Linked DNA regions of Drosophila melanogaster. The protein of the gene in region 2 interacts with the protein of the main gene of each other region in a pairwise test. Each region holds a gene or a part of one and is shown on either strand. Other genes may lie near its edges.

Evidence for each region.
Region 1: the proteins of CG43155 (region 2) and CPT2 interact in a two-hybrid assay, tested with the Drosophila melanogaster proteins (one large-scale study listed by BioGRID).

The regions. Positions count from the first base shown.
Region 1 is NT_037436.4:2,979,150-2,984,155, forward strand, and holds CPT2 (carnitine palmitoyltransferase 2), read left to right. Parts: upstream 1-1,872; 5' UTR 1,873-1,973; coding exon 1,974-3,037; intron 3,038-3,098; coding exon 3,099-3,893; intron 3,894-4,010; coding exon 4,011-4,155; 3' UTR 4,156-4,402; downstream 4,403-5,006.
Region 2 is NC_004354.4:11,458,190-11,463,009, reverse strand, and holds the start of CG43155 (uncharacterized protein), read right to left. Parts: upstream 3,225-4,820; 5' UTR 3,129-3,224; coding exon 2,886-3,128; intron 1-2,885. Other genes in the region: HP5 (heterochromatin protein 5), read right to left, coding at 4,698-4,780.

The DNA.
Region 1 (5,006 bases), on a different chromosome or scaffold from region 2:
ATCTATGCAAATCTCCGTTTGTCCGAAGGTCGACCAAACCCAAACCCAAGCCCATTTGCCATTGTCATCATGGGGCAAATGGAATTTGCCAGTTAACTCTTCCATCTGGTCACCTCGTGCTTTTGCCTGATTTTTACGCAGTTGTCAACCCGTCGAAAGCGACTTATTCGCCACACCTTTCAGGTGCAGAAAGACAGGAAGGAAGGAAGGATTCGAATCTGGATCCCCAGTCACGCTGTGCGTGCTAGAATGGTCAACAGTTTTATTGTCCGGCAAAGGACTCTGGAAACAAATGTTGATTTCTGCGCACAGAAAAGAAAAGGATTTTTTAGAGGTTTTTTATGTGTTTTCGCATCTGGCGGCGACAGTTGAAATTTTATACTACCGTTGGTTGTTAATGAGTGTCGAGATTGTATGCTTTTTAAACACATTCAAGGGTCCTTGAATAGATTTTGTTATTAACGGCGAAAAAAGTGGAAAAAATATGTCACAAAAGAGCGCCTTTAAATCTAACTTTGTGTTTACATTTTATATCAAAAACATTAATTCAATCTGTGCTAGTATGCAACATATTTCATTTAATTTTATTTATTTATTTTTCTTTCCAATTGAAGTCCTTTATCCCACCAGTTATTTAAAGTCGCAGTTGGTCTTTAAAATGCGCGGGGCAATGGCAAAGCAATTACCCATCGATTTGTTCGATTCGGAGGCGCTCAAGTGCTTAAGCGTCCTTTCACCTTTTTGGCAATGGCATCCTGGCGATTTTGGTCCGTGGATAAACAGCGTTTTGTTTGCATTTGCGTGGCGTTTATTTGTTTGCCCGCTGTTGATGTCTGCTGGTCGAGGAGCTTGGAGCTTGGACGACGAGGGTTTCCCGGGGAAGAAACAGATCTTCGGAGGGGTCAGGACATCTTGCAGACGTGGTGGGTCAAAGGCTCCTGCGGGTATTCCAACCGGTCACTGTTCCCAGGTAAGTCGGAAAAAACACAAATGGTTTACTTAAATTACGGGGCTAAGAAAGAAATGAAAATGCGCATAAAATTTTTATACTTTGTCGAATTTCACGAGCGTTCCTTCCCATCGATTCATCTGTGCACTTTGCAGTCGACGCTTGCGGAATAAAATCCACTGCCCCTCAATTCCTCAAATTAAGTAAAGTGAGTAGGGGAATCCCCTTTTCCATTTAAATTTGCATAAGAGGCATCGGCGAAAGCGGATGAGGATGCGGATGGGTTGCAGTGTAATTGGGCGAAGTGAAATTGCGTTAATATTTAACAAGCCAGCGAAAGTGCAAAAGCGAAGCGCATTAAATGCGGAAAAGGGATACGGAAACGTAGTCCTTCGGGGCAAAGTGCGAAATTATGCGGAGTTCAGGGAGATCCGCAAGCCCTTTCCTTTGCGAGCACGGACCTCAAATGTTAAATGTTAGCCATAAGGTCAGCCAAATGTGAAACTCGAGCCGTGAAAGCGAAATGTTTGACCGCGAAGAGCAGCGCTGATTTTGAGTGGTAATTTCATTTCTCATTATCGTCGTTATGGTAATTCAATAAAATCATGACAATTCAAAATTTCGTGCCCGGCATGCGATTGGAATCTGATTATTGCAAATTCAATTTATAGTGCTATAAATATAAAAAATTTACAAAAGATATTAAACATGAATTTTAACCCATATAATATAGTACAGTTATACATAATAATAATAAAATCCGCAAAGATCTATTTATCGTAAATTTCAAACATATACGATATTCAAATATTTTGGCGCCATTACAGGTACTGAAAAATACCAAAAATACCGTAAGGTAACTATCGATGACGGCGATCAGCTGTGATCATCAATGGCGAACAGCTGATCTGGCTCGCGAATTTTCATCTTGTTGTTGGACTTTCTGTTGTGGACTTTGAAACGTCGCCTCTCGAGTTTAAACAACAAAAGTTACTCAATTTGGAAAGCCATCGAGTGGATAGCCATGTTTCGGACCCGGGTGCACCGCAATCTGTCGTGGATATCGACGAACTCGTCGAGGACAACGACCACTCATGGCCAGCACTACCAATACCTGCAATGTTCCAAGCTGCCAACGCTGTACTTTCAGCGCTCCTTGCCGCGATTGCCCATTCCTCTGTTGGAGAACAGCTGTCGGCGTTTCCTGGAGGCCACCAAGCCACTACTCTCGCCGGCGGAGCAGGCGCAGACCCAGCAAACGGTGGAACAGTTTCGCCAGGGGATCGGCATGGAACTACACGCGAAACTCAAGAGCCATGATGCAGAGAACAAGCATACCAGCTACATCTCGCAGCCCTGGTTCGACATGTATCTAGCCGATCGAGCGCCCCTGCCACTCAACTATAATCCGCTGCTGGTGATGAAAAGCGACGCGCGACCGGAGTACCAGCAACAGGTGGTTAGGGCTACCAACCTGATCATCAGCTCGTTACGGTTCTGGCGATCTCTGCAGGCGGATCTCCTGGAGCCGGAGGTGTACCACATGAACGCCAAGAAGAGCGACACTTCCAGCTACCGCAGGTGGATGAAGGTGGCTCCCAAAGCCTTTGCCACCTACGCGTCTTATGCCTTCAAGGCCTTTCCGCTGGACATGAGCCAGTACAACCGGTTGTTTGGCACCTCTAGGATTCCTAGGATCGGCAAGGACGAGCTGGTCCAGTCACCGGACGCCAAGCACATTCTGGTTATGCGCCGCGGTCACATGTACGCCGTAAATGTGCTGGACTCCAGTGGATACATCGAGAGTCCCAGTGTGATTCTGGGCAGACTAAGGGCTGTGCTTAAGCTTGATGCAGATCGCGAGGCAGCCAGCGTGCCACTTGGTGTTCTGACCTCCGGACAGCGTGATGAGTGGGCCAAGACAAGACAGCATTTTGTTAGCAACACCAAAAATGCCGATCTTCTGGAGAGAGAGGTGGATGCGGCTCTGTTCTGCGTTTGTCTGGATGGCGAAGAAGATGGAGTCTTTAACGAAAACCAGCAGGAGCCGCTGCTCAAGCATTTGCTGGCGGGAAAAGCGCAGAATCGGTAAGAAGTCGACATTATGTAAAGCCTGCCTGATTCACAAAATCATCCTGTTCTGTTACAGTTGGTTCGACAAATCCATTTCCCTGCTTATAAGTGCAGATGGAACAACGGCTATTAACTTCGAGCACTCGTGGGGCGATGGAGTGGCTGTGCTTCGCTACTTTAACGAGCTCTACAAGGATACTTTGAAGCAGCCGTTTGTATCCACGGAGACAGTGCACACTCCCGCCGAAGGCGATTTTAGCAACGTGCGGCCCATCAACTTCGAAATCGACGATGCCACCAAGTCGGCCGTTTCGGAGGCTTATAATAAAAACGCCAGCATTGTAGATAATCTGGACATGAATGTGCTGAAGTACCCACACATCAACAAGCCCACATGCAAGCAGTATGGCCTAAGTCCGGACTCCATCATTCAGCTGTCCTTCCAGCTGGCTTATCGCCAAGCCTACAGCGGCTATGTGGGCAGCTACGAATCCTGCAGCACATCCGCCTTCCGACACGGACGTACCGAAACGATGCGACCGTGCACAAATGCCACACGGGACTTCTGTGAAGCTATCCTCCAGCCGGAGAGGAGCAAGCCCAGCGCCGGAGAACTACGAGCAATGATCGACAATTGCAGCAAGGTGCATGGCCAGTTAACCAAGGAGGCGGCTATGGGCCAGGGCTTCGATCGGCATCTCTTTGCCCTTCGGCACACGGCCCAAAAGGAGGGAATACCAATTCCCGATCTCTATGAGACTGAGGCTTACAAGCGCATTAATAACAACATCATTAGTACCTCAACACTGGGTTCAGATGCCCTGCTAGCGGGTTCCTTTGGTCCGGTGGTCAAGAATGGCTTCGGAATCGGGTAAGCTGACTGCCTGTCGAGATTGGGTATTTGAATGTACAAATGCAGCACCTATTTTTCAAGTTGCCTCGACAAATTGTTCACTAGCTGACAGTTGATAACCCATTATTCTTTCAGCTATTCGATTCAGAACGATTTTGCCGGCGCCATTGTCACCACGTACAAAAACCAGGCCGATGGGAAGGTGTTCATAGACAGTCTGGAATCGGCATTTGATAAAATTTGCGCTGTCATCCAGCAGAGCAGCAGTAGCAAGAAGTAGGAGAAAATCGTGAGGAGTCCGACCCCGAATCCAATGAATATGGCTTTAACGTAACAGGGAGATTTATTTTGATGCTTTTACATTGTATCCCATGTGTCTGAATTGCAATATCTTTATCTACAATTTATAGATTATACACTGAAAACATTCTACCCCATCTAAAGCATCTGTGTCTTTGCTTTTATACCCGCTGCTTTAATGGCTTTTGCGGCTGATGGGATAATAAATTGGCTAACATATTGTTGGGATGCTGCTGGCTTGACATTTGCAATTGAATACGAGAAATAACTCACGTTTTAAAACAATGCTGAAAACAACTTTAAAGTAAAGAGTTTAAGAAGTTTATATTAAAATTGAACATAGAGTTATGATAAACGAGCTGAAGTAAAATCGAATAAGAGCGGTTGAAAGCATTTAAGATTATTTTGCGTAAGAAAATGTTTTTTTTTTAAGAAAACATCTTTCGATCCTTTGTTTTCCTAAGTAAAATCAACACACAGAACGATGTATGGCACAAACCCTTTTGAGTTGGTTTAACTATTGAGTCTCCTTTTAAGCATGCGTAAACTTTGACCTTTCATTGTCACTTAAGTTAAACAAGATGTGTGCCCACGCACACCCTGTTCCCAACTTGTTTATCCCGGAATAAGTGGGGGAAAAACCCTTGCATTAAACAGTTTCTGATTAAAGATTTCCCACACGCTGACCCAGAAAACTTGGCCACCAACCCTTCGGGCCAAGTTGTTGCCTTTCGATTTGTGTCAGCCGCACACGTCAATCGCGAACTCCGCCTAAACATGGCGAAAAGTTTATCAAAACGTTGCCTTTTTGGCTGGGAATGGGGATGTCGC
Region 2 (4,820 bases):
ATGTTTCTTTTTTATAATCGTTACATATTCTCTAAAGTCCACATAATTATTGCTGGTAGTTGCTAATAACTTGGCCTTTGTTGTCCAATGACCAGAAAGGGGAGAAAGTGGGAAAATGGGTTGGGTTGACTTGAGTCTAATTGGCCGTTTTGTTGTTTTGGCCAGCAACTTAATTCACTCGGCCTCTAACTTTTTCCGCTGGACAACTTTTGACAAAGTGAAATTTTTCACACACGCACACAAGGATACAGGGACACACAGATAAAGGGAGAAAGCTCACACACACACACATACGTGCAGGGAATCGACGACGCCTTGAAGTATGCTACAAAATGCTAATTAAAATGATTTATGGCCACTCATCCCACGAGTTTTTTTCTTTTTTTTTTTTTTTGCCATATGTGAAAGTGGGAGGCTGTTTGCTGGTAATTCGAGACCCACTCCCTTCGATCCCCTGGGAATTTGGCTTAATTAATAAATAAACTTGCTGGTGTTGTGTCGCGGGGAAAAAAGGAAGCGAACGCATTAAATAGATAAATGTCAATTGCTTCATGGCCAGCTCGTCAACAAAAGCAATTAAAAGTTTATGGGCTTGTGCCACCCAAAAAGTGATTTCACTTTAAAGCGGCTCATCTCCGGAAAATGGAGACACCCAAAAGGATGACGACATGGGTTTAGAAATATTGTTTAAATGTTTTAAAAAAGTACTTATCAGTCTATTAAAAATTGTACAAATTTTATTTTTAAATTTCGGGAAGCTTTAGATACTTTTAACTTATTCAAACTAACAAAGAGGCTATTAATAAACACAAAACTGTATATTTTCACCGAAAATCCAAAGATCACATCTTAAAGCTAAGTATTTTCAACTTTTGTTAAAACCAATATCGAAGAAAAGACGATGGGGTTCAAAAGTTTTTGTCGCTGGTCAAGTGACCGAAACTGATTTCCGGCAACGGAAAACATAGAGGAAAAACTGTGCGAAAACTTGAATGACATGTGATATGCTGATGTGGACACTTCCGCTCACGTCGCAGGATTCATTTCCGTTTAAAGGGTTAAGTAAGTGGGTGCGAAATTGCAAACCAAAAGCCGGAGGGTTAATTTTTCAGTTGGCAATATTTTTTATGCCACGTGGCACATAATTTAAGTACGATTACCATTTATTCATATAATTATTATTTCAACAGCTTAAATGCATTTTTCCTCCGTTTATTGGGATAAAGAAAAAGATCAAGCGATTGAGGCGTCGTGAAATCGGAACATAAAACAAATGCCATTCACCATGTGAATTTGAATTCGAAATAAATTTGATGAGCCATTTAAGTGAGAAGTGCGCATAATTGGCCAACATGTGGTGTGTGGCCAAGAGATTGAAGGGTCCCGTCCCGAACCGTTACGTTTCGTCCGTCGGAAAATTCGGAAAAATTTAGCTAGGGCGTAAAAGGGGGTGGGGATTCCTCGACAATCCATATGAATGCGAATGTGTTGCCTGATTAATGCATGGCTCTCCGATATATCAGCGAGGTGTTGATTGGGCCAAGATAATGCTGTTCGATTTCCCATTCGACGTGGCCGAGAATAAAATATCGAAGAACTCAAGGCGCCATGAATCATCATTAGTTGCCAAGGCAGTCCGTCGATGGAAGTACATTAAAATAGAGTCACTTTGCTAACAATATGTATTTTAAGTTCGCCAGCTCAAGTCAAAGGATGATTATTTAAGCTAATCAAACCATCTTTTAATACATTCAACAGAAATCTACTAATCTGCTTAGGAAAAACACTGATTATCGGTATAAATAGCCTGCTTTAGATGCTCCTTAATGATGGCTACCTCCATCGTACTATATATCCTATACATATCAGACATTCTCGATAAGCTTCGACATTCATTCGTTTGGCTCATTTAGCCCGTCACCCACACCATCGTATCCATTTCGCAGTGGCCAATTGTTGTAGTCCGCGGAAATTGAGAGGCAATATAACAAATACCCACCCGGCACGACACTTGGCCATATGTCAAGTCGTGGGACACAGCAATTAGGACTCCTGGCTGCTTCAGCTCCAACCTTTGCCTTGGATTAACTGCAGCCAGTTGTAGTTTGCAGTCGTGGACAACTGACGGCATCAGTTCCAAATACACATATGTACATATATATACAAGTATATATGTATCTAGAACTTGGCCAAGAGCTGAAACCACGACGTCATTGGCGAAAATGTAAATGTTTAGACAAGGCCAAAAAGGCCTGGACGTGGTCCACATGATGCACTGCCTCCTGCTCCGCCAGCCAGACAGATTTGGGCGTCTGGATATGTGGCGATATATGTGTGCAGTGGCAATTAGGGGAGGCGGGGCACTTAAATGTACAAAATAGTTTTATGACTTAATTTTGGTCTAATTTTTACTATTTCCCACTGCAATAAATTTGCGCTCTGTTTGGGTTATTGTTTTTAATCGCATTGGTACAGTGCACGATCGTTGGATTCATAATTTTTTATATATGCAACATTTATTTGAAGGAAGGATATAGTGACTTAAATTTGTTGGCTTAAAAATGCATTAGAGGGATATTAAATATTTTCTTTTTAGGCCAAGTTAAATCCCCTGCTCGATTGGCCACTGTATTTATGTGTGTTTTGCATTTCTTTCTTGCTCCAAACAATTTGAACGCTAGCCATTTTTCGGCTTTTCGCCCAACAACACAAATCATTTTGCATGTTCGCGGCAGCCGCAAAAGGCGAGCCAAAGGTAGGGGGGGATGGAAAAACAAAAATAAATAAATAAAAACATATTGAAAATAATTAAATATTTGCCTAGTTATGTTCGGGTCTGCTGGGCACCGAACTGGGCACACACGTTGCCCCCCACCATCGCTTACCAATCCGCCCACGCCGCAGTAAATGGACAGGGAGACGAGCAGTCCGATGTGATTGAGCGCCGACTTCCACTTCATCGACTGCCAGCAGGCGGTGCTCCTTCGTCCGCCGGCGGTTCCCTTGGCCAAGCCACCACCCTCGGCGGCATCCACACGACGGTCGAGATGCTTGAGCTTCTCCAGCAGCTCGGTGCTGGCCTCATCCTGCGAATCGTACTCCTTCACCGTCACCTTCTTCATGGGCATTCTGCACTCCGTTTCTGATTGTTTTGGCCGGCCTATGCCTAAATTACTTGTGCTATCATTTAATAGTGTGTTTTTTTCTTTCTTTTGTTTATATCTATTTAATTTCTTTCTTTATTTTCTTTTTGGTTTTCAGGGGCCCGGCCCGCTTTGGTCCTGTGAGTTCAACATTTCGGGGGCACGTCTCACGCAAAGGGGCAACTTTTGAAATAGTTCGCACTCGCGCCAAACGATCTGGAATTTTGACGCGGCCCCAGAATCCCGAGGAGAACCAACCGTCAACAAGTCAAAGTTGCGACTGTTTTGCTTTTGGCGCTGCATTGGATACGCGGGGCTCTGCATGAAAGGTGGCCACCTTTGGGGGCAAGCGTGTGGCAACATGTGGCAACGTTGGCCGCGAAACTGAACGAACGTAAAATCGTTGCATAAATTCGAAATAATACTTATTATAATAAGAATATATAAGAACGGAAACGCTGAGCGATGGTTGCTTGTGTATAGAAACATTTTATTATATTAATTATATAATAGAACATTAATAAAAACGAGCTTAAGTTATCCTGTGATTGATAAATATATCAGAAAGTTAAGTGTGTGTTGTTCATAAAGCAAGATAACATCTTTCCATTTATCTATTCAAATTAGTCACAAAAAAATCTCTTTCTAGCACATTAAATTTATTCAATCTGTATAAATTAACTGTAGAATATTCTGTGAAAAAAAAAACATGTTAGGTAATAAAAATAACATCATTTTTACATAGCTTAAAATAAACGGTACAAGACTTTTCACAATATGGCAACGTCAATGTTCGAATGTGGCAACATCTTCAAATGGCGGCAAATTTCGAAAAAGTTTCTCAGCCAATCCCATTGAAAACTGGCAACATATTTTATCCATTTTTAATCTGTTTTCTTTTTACATACATACATTTTATGATGATGATGTACATTAATACATTGAACTTACAGTACATTTAAGACGATCCATACTTAAATATATATATTTATATTTATATATGTGCATGAACGCAAGTGTTTCTTAAATCTAAGTTGTCAAAAAAAAAAAGGATGAGAAACGAACAATACGTATTCTTGAAAGTCAAACTAACGTAACGCTCTGTTTAAGTAGCTTAAACATTGAAAATTGATTTTCTGATTCCGCTTAACCGTTAATAATATTAAAATATTAATTTTTACGGTCTATCGCACACATTTGCAAGTTGAGTGAGTGAGCTGTGTTAAATTTTGTCCCTGTTTTGCTGACTAATTTAGCAATCATATAAGTGCAAAATATTAACGTTTGCACCAATAGCTTTCTCTTGCAAAAATACTTTGGTATTTTCAACGTGAGTTTGCATATAAATTGAATATGTCTTTAAAAATAAACGTAAGACTACTTCTTGATCGTAGGGAGAACTAATTATAAATTCAGTTAAATGTACAAATTAATCGGTCCTTAATAAACCTACGTGTGTGCGTGTGAGTTTGTAGCTATGTCTGTGTCTGTGTGTATGCTTCGGTTTCGATCTGTATCTGTCTATCTGTACTTGGTGCGCAATTTGCCAGCTTACTACGATTCTAACGCGGTCATTATTTCGTCCAGTGTACCCCTCGAGATGGCATGGCGGCTGGAGTTCAACTGAAAGTTGGGTTCTAAAAGGCATAAGCAGAGCAAATAGTTATTAGAAGGTGC